3 linked regions of the Drosophila melanogaster genome follow. The protein of the gene in region 1 interacts with the protein of each later gene in a pairwise test. Each region holds a gene or a part of one and is shown in the gene's direction. Other genes may lie near its edges.

Evidence for each region. Proteins that work in one complex are often made in the same cells at the same time.
Region 2: the proteins of BOD1 (region 1) and PPO2 interact in a two-hybrid assay, tested with the Drosophila melanogaster proteins (one large-scale study listed by BioGRID).
Region 3: the proteins of BOD1 (region 1) and CG4743 interact in a two-hybrid assay, tested with the Drosophila melanogaster proteins (one large-scale study listed by BioGRID).

The regions. Positions count from the first base shown.
Region 1 is NT_033777.3:27,936,786-27,943,336, forward strand, and holds BOD1 (biorientation defective 1), read left to right. Parts: upstream 1-1,776; 5' UTR 1,777-1,909; coding exon 1,910-2,133; intron 2,134-2,191; coding exon 2,192-2,862; intron 2,863-2,921; coding exon 2,922-5,348; intron 5,349-5,649; coding exon of another isoform or gene 5,650-5,657; exon of another isoform or gene 5,658-5,799; coding exon 5,800-5,933; 3' UTR 5,934-5,993; downstream 5,994-6,551. Other genes in the region: NSD (nuclear receptor binding SET domain protein), read right to left, coding at 1-552, 646-964.
Region 2 is NT_033778.4:9,041,761-9,046,555, reverse strand, and holds PPO2 (prophenoloxidase 2), read left to right. Parts: upstream 1-1,846; 5' UTR 1,847-1,935; coding exon 1,936-2,919; intron 2,920-2,974; coding exon 2,975-3,070; intron 3,071-3,128; coding exon 3,129-3,890; intron 3,891-3,946; coding exon 3,947-4,159; 3' UTR 4,160-4,295; downstream 4,296-4,795. Other genes in the region: CG13743 (uncharacterized protein), read left to right, coding at 1-50; Ance-4, read left to right, coding at 4,469-4,510, 4,745-4,795. UniProt on the Drosophila melanogaster protein: This is a copper-containing oxidase that functions in the formation of pigments such as melanins and other polyphenolic compounds.
Region 3 is NT_033777.3:25,678,742-25,682,488, reverse strand, and holds CG4743 (uncharacterized protein), read left to right. Parts: upstream 1-1,938; 5' UTR 1,939-2,002; coding exon 2,003-2,098; intron 2,099-2,150; coding exon 2,151-2,417; intron 2,418-2,480; coding exon 2,481-2,896; intron 2,897-2,959; exon of another isoform or gene 2,960-3,008; coding exon 3,009-3,123; 3' UTR 3,124-3,247; downstream 3,248-3,747. Other genes in the region: Idh3g (isocitrate dehydrogenase (NAD(+)) 3 non-catalytic subunit gamma), read right to left, coding at 58-133, 198-384, 444-1,223, 1,291-1,368, 1,466-1,522; CG5039 (uncharacterized protein), read right to left, coding at 3,249-3,275, 3,331-3,516, 3,590-3,712. UniProt on the Drosophila melanogaster protein: Mitochondrial solute carriers shuttle metabolites, nucleotides, and cofactors through the mitochondrial inner membrane. May mediate the transport of S-adenosylmethionine (SAM) into the mitochondria.

The DNA.
Region 1 (6,551 bases):
TCTCTGATTTAATGGAGATCGCGGTAGTTTGAGCCTCTTGAGTTGGGGCTTCATCTGTCCGGTCAACTTCCTCATCTATTGGCTCCGTTTTTACTGACTTTTCGTCAACCTCTTGCTGGTTTTTTTCGTCCAGTTCGAGGGTTACTTTCGCCTTCGGCACTCTTTTCATTTTGCGCTTTACGTGCTTGCGAACGATTGGCCGTATGCCCAGGTCCTCGGAGCCCGCCTCGAAACCGGTGCTGTTGGGCGAACTAGCGCCGTTTTTGATTAGCAGCTTCTCGATGGGGCTCATGTAGGTCTTGCTGAGCAGCTGATTAGCGCTATCATCTCCACCACCTCCTCCTCCTCCCCCGGGGGTCCTTGGTGACGCATTATCATGGGCCAGGGTCTCGCCAGCACTGCTGTTATTTAAAGCCGCCGCTTGGTTAACGCGTCGCCTCGTCGTGCGTATTGTGTCATCGGAATCGGAAAGCGGCGTGGGTGAGTTGGCATTGGCATAGCCAATATATTTGGGGCTCAGCGCCGACTGCAAGTTGATAAGATCTCGTTTCCCTAAAGCAGCACACACAGGCGCACACACAAAAGCAGATATATTAGCATATGGACGGCATACGGCGGGGTATATTGCGCCATTGTTACACTTACTGTTCACCATGGACACACGCTGTTGTTGCTGTTTTTGGACTGGCGTCTGCCGCTGACTCTCCAGCTCCGACTCCTCCGCCGCGGGCTGTGCGCCGTTCTGCACCGGGTTTTGGCCGGGCTTGTCCAGCAGTCGAACCGGAGTGCTGTTGTTGGTGTCCCTCGGAATTTCGACATCATCGCCTTCGGTGGCCACCGACTCGTCGTTGCCCGCAGCCACTTCGTCGGTGGCGGTCAGGGAATCGGACGCGGAGTTGCACAGCACATTGCCGTGGGCAGCGTCGCCCTCGATCTCGGAGTGCGCGTCCGTGCTCAGCTTCATTCTGCGGTCCAGTTTAATCGCGCTCTCGTCAATTAAACACTACCGTTAATTCGACAATTTCTAAGAACACAGAGGCTTCGCTTGCGCCAAAACTTCGACTGCAACCGTGGGCATCGCGGTAGCTATCGATCCATCGATACGATCGCTGAAAGATAGGCGTCACACATTCCTATCGATTATACTTAGCCAAGATTCGCACCGTAATGCACAGTGAGGCGAAGTGTTTTCTTTTACTTATAGTATAGTTATATAATTAATAATAATTTTTATAATAATTTTTGAACTAAATCATAAGCGCCGCGGGGTGTTCTTTTATTCGCTCTCAGGCACGTCATCCAATACAAATTTCTAACTACAGGTTTCTAAACCTTCTATATAAATTTTTTGAAAAGGTTCCTTAGCCACGACTGAGGTACTACACTGGCCAGGGGACTTCGTTACAGATTGTTTTTATAATAGTTATTCGGAGTTAACAGATACTGCCATGTATTGTTGTTTTCCAAAACTAAATATTTTAACTTTAACTCAATTCTTTCACCTTACCGAAAACAACGTGAATACCTGAATTTTACATTAATATGAACATTTAAGTTCTTAATGTATAGCTGATTAAATGCAACTTGGCTTTAAAGGTAAAAACTCGGTGGCACAAATATTTCTATACTTTATTATTCTTTCATTCATAACTCAAAAGTAAAAATGTATCTGTATCTGCAATTCGTCAAATTTGGCTAGTAAAACTGAGAAGTTGGCATAGCTACCGCTCACGCACGACGCCCGGATCCAATCAGGGCGAAACTCACGTGGGGCGGCCATCCCTAGCGTAAACATATGTACATACATGTAAACGCATGTAAAGACAAACTCGACGTTTATCCTGGATTTCCTCGGCACTCACGGGTGTTGCGGCAAGCAAAAGCACACGAATAACAAGGGCCAAGGAGCATGGACGACTTTATCAAGACACTGATTGCCGAGGTGAAGTCGCAGGGCGTCTTCGACGAATTCCGATTCAACTGCTGCCTGGCGGACGTGGACACGAAGCCCGCCTACCAGAATGTGCGCACCCAGGTGGAGACGGCGGTCAACGATTTTCTGGCCAAGCAGCAATGGACGCCCGAGACCAACAAGGTCCAGCTGCGAGAGAGGCTGCGCAAGCACCTTATGGAGTGAGTATGCTTCTGGCGGGGCTTGGGTAACCTGGGGTAATCACATCGACTGTTTCAGCTCCGATGTCCTGGACAAGGGAGTGGACCAAATCGTGGACCAGGTGGTCAATCCCAAGGTGGCTACCATATTCGAGCCAAAGATCGAGAGCATTGTCTACAAGTACCTGGGCATCACACCACCTGCGCGACCCACTATGCTGTCAGCTCCGCCTTTGCCGCCATTTGGTGCCCACTTGAACGGCAGCAGCCTGCTCAATGTGGAGACCACGGTTGGTCTGCTGCCCACGGACCTGGAGCAGATAAGTCCAGACTCCGATCGGGCTACCGTCAAGTCGGAGTCGAGGGATGACGAACTTCCGCCCGGTGTAGACGACGAGGACACTTCGCCATCCTACGAGCTAGTGAGCGAGCGGAAAACACTTGCCATCAAGGAGGAGCTGAACAACGTTTCGTTGAATAACTCGGATTCGGTGAACGGCGTCTCCCAGGCGTCGCAACTTTCGCAGGTTTCCAGTGACAGCCGCCTGACCATGGCGTCGTCCACGGAGTCCATGGTTGATAGCCACCAGCACACAGCAGCTCACAACAGTGGGGAGCCAGAGAACATTTGCGAGGAAGCGCAAATGCCAAAGTTCAGCGAAAACTCTTGGGATGCTAGTGCGGGAACAGGCCGAAGCGAAGGTCGACAGCTTCACTTCGACATCAAACAGGATGCCATTACCTTCGAAGGTGGGTTTGCCGGGCGCCACGATGGGTTATTTAACTTCTACGATTTCTTTTTCGTGCAGGTACTGAGCGAAAGAACTCGGTGTCGGAGACGACTAGCACAGGCCTCCAAATTCTTTCCATCGAGGATGAGATCATGTCGGAGGTGAAGGCAAACATAGACGACGCCAACAATGCCAGTATTGAGTCTATAGCACCGGAGCCTGTACAAGTGCCAGCACCGCCGAAAGTTAATCCGCCTCCTCCTCCGCGGCCAGCCTCGCCAAAAGTAGAGCCTCCTCCGCCGGCACCACCAGGAGTTGAGTCGCCGCCAGGGCCCCAACCACCAGCGTCACCTCGTTTTGATCCACCTCCACCACATACAATTGAGCCACCGCCACCACCAGCACCACCAACACTTGTGCCACCGCCACCACCAGCACCACCAACAATTAAGCCACCGCCACCCCCAGCACCACCTACAGTTGAGCCACCGCCACCACCACCACCAGCACCACCTACAGTTGAACCGCCGCCACCACCACCACCAGCACCAACTAAAGTTGAACCACCTCCTCCACCGGCACCAGCTGAAGTTGAACCACCTCCTCCACCGGCACCCACAGAACTTGAACCACCTCCTCCTCCAGCACCACCGAAAGTCGAGCTTCCTCCTCCGCCAGCCCCACCAAAAGCTGAGGCAGCTATAACGCCCCGAAGGGCGAAAGGTAGTAATGGATTCATCACAGAGCTGGCCGTGACACCCAAGGAGTCGGAAACTCGGGATAAACCACACAATGTAAACACGGATGTCAAAGAAGATGAGCAACCAGCAACAACTGAAGACAAGCAAGATAAACCCCTAGAGCTTGGATTGGATGCACCAAAAGACGCTGTTAGCACAGCGTCTGAGTCCACGGAGTCGCCAACATCCACGTCCTCGCAATCAAAAAGCCATTCGAAGTCTAGGGATAAGGAAAAGGAAAAGGATCGGCGACACCACAGGCACTCAGATGACAAACACCGGCGAAGGAGCACAGATCGGGACCGCGATCGTAGTCGCGACAAATCGCACAGCAAGCATTCCTCGAGTTCCAGCTCGAAGCACTCCTCATCGAACTCCTCCAGCTCGAAGCATAAGAGTAGTAGCTCCAAGAACGATAAGAGCTCCTCAAGTTCATCTAGCCGGAGTAATCGAGAGTCGTCGTCATCCAAGCGCTCGGGAACCACTTCTTCATCACGCCACGAATCTTCCTCACACAAAAAACACAAGTCCAGTTCATCATCCTCGCGATCGGAACGAGATAAAGGCAAGGAGAAGGATAAGGAAAGGGAAAAGGACAGCCAAAGTCGCAGCCACCACAGCAGTAGCAGTTCCTCGTCGTCGTCAAGGAGAAAAGATCACGACCGAGGCCGCGATCGTGATCGTAACAAATCAAACACTTCTGGCAGTGCAGAGAACAAGGCTATCCACGATGATCATAGCGAGAGCAAAGAAAAGTATAAGCAGCGTCGGGGTTCCGACTCAAACGACGAGGGGAAGCCTCCAAGTTCTGGTGGTCCGGCCAAGAACTCCCAGCCGGAGGATTCAGCAGCTACAATGAAATCAGATGCGCCCGTGGAGAATGCTAACGGCACGAATGGAAACTCCAACGGCAGCACCAATGGTGCTTGCGACAATGTCAGCGGTGTTGTCATCGTGAGCGACATCCTGCAGCAATCGACGAGCAGTTTTGTTGAACTGACCGCTGGATCCCAATCGCATGACAGAGCGGAGAGCAGTAAGCATGAACCCGAAGATATAGACGGAAAAGAGGCGGATAATCAGCCGGAAAAAACAGAATTGGAGGCAAGGCAAGACGAGTGTGCTTCGCAGAATGAAGTGCCAACTGTAGAACCTCAAACTTTAGCTGACTCCGTTCCCGATTTGCCAGCCAAGGAAAGCATGGATACATTGGAAGACGAAAAGGTAGAGACCAATGTCGAAGAGAATAAGTCAGAAGAGGAGAGCAAACCGGAAAATCCTCCCGAAGAGTGCGTCGACGAACCTGCTCAAGTCGGCGATGTGGAGGATCCACCGCAAGATGCTGACAAACCCGCCACACCAGTCCCAATCTCGAATGAGCAAAGCGACGAATTTAGTGCCGACTTTGTGACCCACTTCGAAGAAAACACAGACGAGTTTAGGACGCGTCTGCAGCTCATCAATCAACTGATAGAGGATCGAAAGAATTTGCTTAACAGGTTAAGTGAGGATGGAACACAGGAGGAGGCAGTGGATATACGTGCCTTGCGACGCAGCCTCTCCAAGCGAAGACGGAGCAGCATGCAGGAGCAGCATCGAGTGGAGCGGGAAACGACACCGCCGCAGCCTAGAAGTCCGAGCAGCAGCAGCACCGCCGGCAGTCCGGCAAAGAGACTGCGACAGGACGAGCCCAAGTCATCGCCAACACCATCTGACGCCAGCATAAACTCGAAGGAGAACGAGGCACTGGAGAAGCAGGAGCATGGTGCGTACTGTATCATTGCTAAGTTTCATTTGGTGTAGCATTTGTTCCTCGAATCTCTCTTTTGCTAACTCTCACAAAGGGTGGATCGATGCAATTGAATTGTCGTATGTCTTAACGTTTAGTGAAAATCAAGTAAAAATTGATAATAAAGTCTATAATTAACACAAATCGATCCACCCTGCGAATGTGATCTACATACATACATCTCTGTTCTCATGCTCATCCTCAATATTCTTCTTTACCGCCTCTATTTTCTCCCCCACACGCATCCGCATTGTTAACTAATATACATAATATGTAGCTGTATGAAGCCACCACTAGTAGTCCTAACCAAACCGCAATGGAGCTGGGTAAGCGGTTCCCGCGCGATTCTCTGTCCTTTGCCCGCCGATTGTTGATGCTTCGAGCGATTCCCGTGAATGCGTGTGACTAAAGTGCTTGTTTTTATCAGCAGACGCCCTGTCCGCCAGGCGACTCAGCAAGAAGCTCTGCCAGCAGCAGCGGTACACCAACGATGATCTCTACAAGCCCCGTCCAATCCTGTCGCAGCGCTCTCGTCGCCGGGGCCTGGACTCCATTCTCTAGCCAACGGATAACCTGTTATCGGAAACAATAAAAGGCAATTGTTGTTAATGCATTTGACATAAAACAAGTCTTCGTTTCTTTCATCCGTTTAATGGGCCATTTCGCTTGCCAATGGTTTTGCTTCCGCTTGTTTTTTTTTCGTTTGAATTCTTTAACAATAAAATTGTAATTTAGCGCTACACCTTACAGTTTAATAGTCGCCGGTGCAGCATATCCATATATATTATGCATATATATAAACAAAAATAACAGTGAACGTAATAATATGATGCATTATTGTATATTTTGGGCGATCCACTAGCCTTGATCCCCGGCACTCAACTGCGTCTGCTACTCAAGGATGTGGAACTCTAGCACTGAGACGAGGATAATGTGTGATGATAGATCGAAACAGTCGAGTGCGTGGAGCAAGGACAATGGACATAGCTAGGCTACGGCTCTCTACATGGGGCTGGTTAGTTATAGTACCGGGTGTAGATTATGGGGCATTGTAGGTCTGGGGGAGACGTAGTTCTCTGGGAGCTGTTTTCTGCTGTATCTGCTGTTCCTTATATTTTGTAACATCTCAGTTTGAAGATTTCGGCTGTAATTTGATTACAAATTATTGAATTTTTCCTT
Region 2 (4,795 bases), on another chromosome or scaffold:
TGATGGGTTACTGCCGGCAGGAGTTTCAGAACACCACCTCCTCGAACTAAGTTAACGGAACGGAAGTCAGCCCACGATGTGGGGCGCGCGGGTTGGGATCGCATTTTTATGGTTTGGGTTTTTGGGTTGAAACTTCTGATTTGACCTTCGGTTAATACAGCTGCACCACGTCGCATCGAAAGAAACTTGTACCTGAGTCCCAGACGTTCAAAGTATCTGCGTAAGTAAGTAGTAGGCACAGTGTTGAATTGGATTAGTGGATAGCGGATAGCGGATGTGTGATACGGGCGAACCTCAGTACAAAGGCCAGGCATTCTCTCCGATCGAGTAACCCATGTATATTTGCACCGGATAGTCGTTTAAAGTGTACATTTCGTTGGATCCCCGTTGTTGATGTCGATATTGTTGAAAGTAGTGAAAGTTCCTCGATATATAAGTGTGTGTGTACTCCGTACTCTGTACTTTGAAGCCATCAAGTTGAGCAAGCGATTTGAATTGAATTGAATCGAAAGAAACGAGCAAAGGCAAACTAAACCGAACTAGAACTAGATGTTATCCGTAGCTTTAGCGTAGTCTGAAACTATTTGGGCACCAATATACACATGCAATCCTTAGAGACAACCGACTCCCCAAGTTGAGAAGTGAATCAAAATCGAAAACGAAATCGAACAAGTATTATATGTATGTACCGAGAACTATTTGTAACTATGTATGCCCCGACGTTACCGGATCGTATTCCCCAGTTTTATATGTATGTATATGTATACAAGGGTAGATAAAAATGCGCTTGAACCGAACTAAAATCAAACTACAATATATCCCCATCAACACATCGATTTGAACAACAGTTTTGAGTTGTTAACGGCACTGAATTCTGTTTTGAATTGCATATGTACACCGAACACGATCGAATATTTATATATACAGAAACATAGATATATTTTTGTACAACTCTTGGTTTATACTGCACGATATTATGTAAATACATGTGTATGCATTTTTGGATGTGATTAAAGTCTTTACACTCACACAAAAGCCATCACCTCTTACTTTCTCTTCGGGCTGAGAGATCGGAACCAAGCTGAAGACCCCACAACTCTATATTCTAAGAGCTTAAACACTACATATCATGGCCAAGGAACACGGGACATGCCCAGGGCTTTTCTGAGATACATTTTACAAGATCTAAACAACTAACCAACTGAACCTATCGCTTTTACACAACGAATACGAGAACGGAAACGGAAACAGCAGCATACAATTTCCACAGACTTCCTGTATATACACGCTATATATATGTAGATCCGCTTGTCGTACGATATTGCTCATCTCTTCACTCGCCAAATATCTCGTTGTATCTCTCTTTTTAGCGCTATGCTAAATAAATATATGTATTGTATATCAAAGCAGTAGTAGGGAATTAGGGACGAATTGATCGATTATAGCCGAATTGTAATAACTATTATTGCCGTATTATGCATGTAGCTACATATATATACATACTATTATATTAAATTGTTTAGATGTGATGCTATCTGACCGGAGGATCGTGTGCGTAGAGAAGTTTTGATTTACAACGCAGGCATATCCCAGAGATAACAAAATCCGATTTCATTCCAATAGTATATATGTATAGATAAGCTAAAGCAAAACCAAATGAAATACTCTTGAAATAATAAAACTGCATTTTAGAAATATGCTAAAACAACACTGCGGTTTCCATACTATATCCTTATCGCCGCAATTTGTCGACAATTTCAATTCTCAGGCGTTCTTGTGGTTTTCAAAACCGATACTAGTGCCTTCGAAGTTTTGTATAAAATGTGCAGTTCTTTCGGTGAATAGTCACAGTCGTGAAGTTCCCAGACTTCCAGTCACATTCCCCATTTAGTTTGCTCCGCGATCCAGCAGGTCCTCCCTGACATCCCATTGAAAATGGCCGACAAGAAGAATCTCCTCCTGCTTTTCGACCATCCCACCGAGCCAGTGTTCATGGACAAGGGCAAGAGGGTGACCGTGTTCGATGTGCCCGACTCCTTCCTGACCGACCGCTACCGACCCATCAGCAACGAGGTGCAGAGCCGCGTCGGCGACAAGGTGGAGCAGCGCGTTCCAGTCCGGGAGATCTCCATTCCCGATCTGCGGATCCCCATGTCCCTGGGCCGGGACGAGCAGTTCTCGCTGTTCCTGCCCAAGCACCGCAGGATCGCCGGCCGCCTGATCGATATATTCATGAACATGCGCTCCGTGGACGACCTGCAGAGCGTGGCGGTGTACGCCAGGGATCGGGTCAACCCGGTGCTCTTCAACTACGCCTTGTCGGTGGCGCTGCTCCATCGTCCGGACACCCAGGGCCTGGATCTGCCATCCTTCTCGCAGACTTTCCCCGACCGCTTCATCGACTCGCAGGTGATCCGCAAGATGCGGGAGGAGTCTTTTGTGGTGCAGCCCGGTTCCCGGATGCCCATCACCATTCCCAGGGACTACACCGCCTCCGATCTGGATCCCGAGCACCGGCTGTGGTACTTCCGCGAGGATCTGGGCATCAACCTTCACCACTGGCATTGGCATCTGGTCTACCCCTTCGAGGCCTCCGACCGCAGCATAGTGGCCAAGGATCGTCGTGGCGAGCTCTTCTACTACATGCACCAGCAGGTGATCGCCCGCTACAATGCGGAGCGGTTCAGCAACAACCTGGCCAGGGTTCTGCCCTTCAACAACCTGAGGGATCCCATTGCCGAGGGCTACTTCCCCAAGATGGACTCTCTGGTAGCCAGCCGCGCGTGGCCACCGCGCTTCGAGAGCACCAGGTTGAGCGATCTCAACCGGGAGTCCGACCAGCTGAATGTGGAGATTGGAGATCTGGAGCGTTGGCGTGATCGCATCTACGAGGCCATTCACCAAGGATTTGTCATGGATGTGAGTTGTTGGTGGGTTTTCCATTAACTAAATAACATGCCATATTCCCTTTCAGGAGCGTGGCAACCGGGTGCCATTGGATGAGGCGACGGGCATTGATACCCTCGGCAACATGATTGAATCATCCATTCTGTCGCCCAACCGAGTGCTGGTAATAAGTCCTTACCCTTAGTAAATTATTCTAGGGATTAATCCTATTGCTCCCCTAGTATGGTGACCTGCACAACAACGGACACACCTTCATCTCGTACGCCCACGATCCGACCAGCAAGCACCTGGAGTCCTTTGGCGTGATGGGTGATGTGTCCACGGCCATGCGCGACCCGGTCTTCTACAAGTGGCACTCGTACATCGACCGCATCTTCCAGGAGCACAAGTCGCGCCTGCCCGCCTATACCGAGAACCAACTAAACTACCCGGGCGTCTCGATCGCGGGCATCCAGGTGGACACCAATGGAGGTCGTCCCAATAATCTGACCACCTTCTGGCAGCAGTCGGACGTGGACATGTCCCGTGGCTTCGACTTCCTGCCGCGAGGTAATGTCTTCGCCAGGTTCACCCACCTGCAGCATCTGCCCTTCACCTATACCATCAGTTTGAACAACGATAGTGGTGCCCAGCGTTTCGGCTACGTGCGCATCTTCATGGCGCCGAAGAACGACGAGCGTGGCCAGCCCATGCTGATGCGAGATCAGCGCTCCATGATGATCGAGCTGGACAAGTTCGTGACTTCGCTGAACCCGGGACCCAACACCATCCGCCGCCGCTCCACGGAGTCGAGCGTGACCATTCCGTTCGAGCGCACCTTCCGCAACCTGGATGCCAATCGTCCGGCGGCCGGCACTCCGGAGGAGCTGGAGTTCAACTTCTGCGGCTGCGGCTGGCCCAACCACATGCTGGTGCCAAAGGGTCTGCCCGAGGGACTGCAGTGCGTGCTGTTCATCATGGTGTCGAACTATGAGAACGACAGGGTATGTTAGCTGGCTAGTAAATCAAGGATATTTTTGACAATTATCTCCACCTCCAGATTGACCAGCAATTGGTGGGTCGGTGCAGCGATGCCGCTTCCTACTGTGGCGTCCGTGACCGTCTTTACCCGGATCGCCAGTCCATGGGATTCCCCTTCGACAGGTTGCCCCGCAGCGGAGTCGACCGCCTGGTTAACTTCCTCACGCCCAACATGAGCATCGTGGACGTGAACATCCGCCACGAGAACCGCACCGTGCAGCGCCCAAACTAGACGATCCGCACCTGATTCGCTTTCCCGATTCGCCCTGACCCGATTCCATGACCTCGCCCACTTCTAGATATACAACTCTTAGCAATCTATTGCATCTTTATTGAGCCGCTTAATAAACAAGACATCATGGCATTCCACAATCCCACTTTTGTTCTCAATTATTGTGGCTCGGCCTCCGGGCGAGAATCTCTCGCTGATTAGGCTTATCAGCCGCCCGGGAGAAGCTTTAAATGCCAGCTCCACGGCCGGAGCACCTCAGTTCGAGCAGATCCGGTGTTGAGTGCGAAAGTGAAACCGATTCCCGAGGAGATGGGCCTGCTGCTGCTTCTGGTGCTGATAGCGGGCATTGGCGTAAGCACTGTACCGATTAAATAATCTATGGGTCCACAAAGATCCCACAAAAAGATGTGGTCTTTAGATAACTTTAAATCATAATTTTGCGTGTTTGAAATATGTTTCATTTAGATGCGTGTCAGTTTCTATATAGTTTGAGGATACTTAGAAGACCTAGACTAAACTAAGCCTGTAATAGCAATAATATTGTAAGTGAATTTGCTGCTTTTAATTGATTGTCATTTATTTTAGTGCGCAACTGCAGCAGCCAACATTGACCTGGAGGCCAAGACGTTTGTGAAT
Region 3 (3,747 bases), 2.3 Mb from region 1:
GTGACAGCGAAATAAAAGAACATATAGAACTACTCTAAATGCAGACGATTATTTTACCAATTCACGCGCTTGGCACTCAAGATCTTGAGTATATTCTCAACCACATCGGTACTGGAGTTGGTGCCGCCAATATCTGTAAGAGATTTAGATGATAAAGGTGATTCTGTTTATTGAATAACTACGAGAGACGTGATCACCTGGCGTGCGAATGGCATCGTTGACAATGGTCTGGTAGACGGCCTCCTGAATGACATTGGCGTGCTCCTTGTGGCCCAGATGGTTCAACATATCGATACTGGCACTGATCATGGCCACAGGGTTGGCGATATTCTTGCCGGCAATGGCGGTTCCGGTGTTACGGGTGCCAGGCTCAAAGATGGCGTACTAAAATTATATGACAAAACTGAAAGACTATGGGTTAAGCAAAAGAGAAAGAGACTTACATGGTCACCGTAGTTCCTGCCGGATATGAGGCCAGCTCCGCCCATCAAACCGCAAAGAACATTGGACACGATGGTGCCGTACAGATTGGTCATGTTCATCACGTCGAACTGGTGAGGATTCGACACGGACTGCATGCAGGTGTTGTCGATAATCATGTTGTTGTGCTCCAGTTCGGGATAGTCCTTGTGCACACGGTTGGCAACCTCCAGGAAGAGACCATCGGACAGCTTCATGATGTTGGCCTTGTGAATGGTGGTAACCTTCTTGCGATTGTTTTGGCGGGCGAACTCAAAGGCGTAGCGGGCCACACGCTCGGCATTCTCGACGGTCACCACTTTCATGCTCTCCACAATTCCGGGCACAGACTCATGTTCCAACATGGCGTACTCGCCATCGGTGTTTTGGCGGATGAGCACCACGTCAATGTCGTGATGGCGGGCCGGAATGCCCGGATACGACTTGCAGTGCACCACATTGACGTACAGATCCAGCTCGTTACGGATGGCCACGTTGCGGGAGACTTCGGTCAAGGATTGGGACTTGGTCTCGATGTTGCCCTTGAGTGCCACTCCGTTCCTCTTAATCGATGTGATGGCATAGTCCAGATCATCGTTGCCCTCGGTGGAGGGATCGATGTCGATCACCTCGAAATCGATGGGTGCACCGCAATACCGGAAGATCTCGCGCACATAGCCCATCAGTTCAGGACCAATGCCGCCGCCCGGCAGCATGGTGACGGCATGACGACCTCCGTACTGTGCCGAGGGAATATCGGTGCCCTGTTCACGAAGATATATACGGATGCTATAACCTCAATTGGGGGTGAGCTCCAGAGGTTGCACTCACCGTGACTTTCTTCTGCAGCGCCGATTTGGTGTGGGCCACATCCTCGGTCTTCTCCTTGGTCACCAGCAAGGGATAGCCCTACAATTCGAATCGATAAGTACGATCAATAGGATCTGGCAGGCGCGCATTATGTAATTTGCCTTTGTGGGCCAATTTTCCGGCCGAGAAAACTTACGCGAGTGAGGAACGGCGTCTGCGTCTGCAGCAATCTCTGGGTCAAGCGAAGGGCCATGATTTGATCCTTGGATTATTGTTTTCTACCGCTGCAGTTGGTATTCTACTATCAGTTAAATCACAGCCAATTTTATTCCACTTGGCCAAAACGGTGCTGCTGGCTCTTGCCCAGAACCACGGCTTTTCAGGGTTGTCAAGTAAATGGTATTGGTTTTAAAATAATTACTTTGGTGTAAAAAAAATGTATTATAATTATGTGTTTTTGTGAAAAAGCTAACATTTCAATACCATCCTTTTTTTAAGTAACACTTTTGACCAAATAATATATATCTTACATAGAATATATTTATTTGTTATGGTTTCAGCATCTTGGCAACTCTACACCAAGCAGCTGTTATCTGCAGACCTGCCAGATCAGCAAAAAGCAGCTGACTGTTACGTTAACAACCACATTTTATGTTTTTGTTTACTAAAACAACTTTAGTTAATACTCCGACGGGATGACTTAAAGTGGATGCCCCAACATCATTTCTAGGACATGGCAGCGGAATTGGGTCTGGAATCGGCCGCGGGGTCCGTGGCAATCAAAATGCAAGAGCCGGTCAATAAATTAAAATTTTTCCATGCACTTGTTGTAAGTAGATGAAAATTAAATGAAAAGTTAGTTCTTAAATAATTAGTTTTAGGCAGGAGGAGTGGCTGGAATGGTAGTGGACATAGCGCTGTTTCCCATAGATACAGTGAAGACCCGACTGCAAAGCGAGCTGGGCTTTTGGCGGGCAGGAGGATTCAGGGGCATCTACAAAGGACTCGCTCCTGCGGCTGCAGGAAGTGCTCCCACGGCGGCCCTGTTTTTCTGCACCTACGAGTGCGGAAAGCAGTTCCTTAGTTCGGTCACCCAAACCAAAGATTCACCCTATGTTCACATGGCAGCGGCTTCAGCAGCAGAAGTGGTAGGATTTCATATAAAACTGAGCACCTCGTATTTAGATCTGAAGAATCTCTGTATCCAATAGTTGGCATGCTTGATCCGAGTTCCCGTGGAGATTGCCAAGCAACGCTCCCAAACATTGCAGGGCAACAAACAGTCCGGCCTGCAAATTCTACTGCGTGCCTATCGCACTGAGGGATTGAAACGTGGTCTGTACAGGGGATTTGGTTCCACTATCATGCGGGAGATTCCATTTAGTCTGATACAGTTTCCGCTCTGGGAGTACTTTAAGCTGCAATGGACTCCCCTGACCGGCTTCGATTCCACTCCTTTTTCGGTGGCTCTTTGTGGAGCTGTCGCTGGAGGCATTTCAGCGGGATTAACTACGCCGCTCGATGTGGTCAAAACCCGAATTATGCTGGCTGAAAGGGAGAGTCTCAACCGACGTCGCAGTGCCCGAAGAATTTTGCATGGCATTTACCTGGAGCGAGGCTTCAGCGGGTAATTATTTCCATATTAGACGCAACTCAAGCTGGTCCTAATATTTAAACACAAATTAACTTTACAAAACTATTTATTACATTTATTAATGTACTTCGATGTTACTTTTCAGTCTGTTTGCTGGCTTTGTGCCGCGTGTGCTGTGGATCACACTGGGCGGTGCATTCTTCTTTGGCTTCTACGACCTGACGACGCGAATCCTTGGCGCCACCAGTACGGATCATTAAAATTAGGGTTATTTTCGTTGTACTTGTAGTAGAGGCACGTAGTTTGCAGTAGTAACTAAACCGATGACAACCACCGTTTGAAGACAACGTGGACAATAAAGTGTATGGAAGACTTTTGAGATTCACTAGGCATTGGAGGCGTTATTCGCTCCCTGTGGAAGAAAAAGGGCTGTGATTGTATTGGGACATTGTCACGAGCTCACTGACATCCTGAATGTGGAGGCGACCAGTGAGGAGAGTAGCAGTAGTCCTTTGATCTCCCAGTTCATCTCCGCAGTCCATGGGCACATCGGAATCCTCCTCATCCACATTGATGTATCCACTTCGCGGAGCCTTCCTGCTCTTTAGGCAATCCCAGGAATTCCGACAGCGACTACGTGACATGGCGTAGACCTGTGTACACCCAAATGCATAAATTAAACAAATGTACATCCACTTAAACAAACAGACTGTGGCGATAACGCACCAGTGCAGCCAGAACGAAAATGCCAACGAGCACGGAAATTGGCAGCCATATGTATTGACCGTCGTCCGGATGCAGTATGTCCGGTTCAGGACTAATGGTCGTCTGAGGCTCAAGTAACTTCATCGTTTTCAGGGGATGTACAAAGAAATCACAACAAC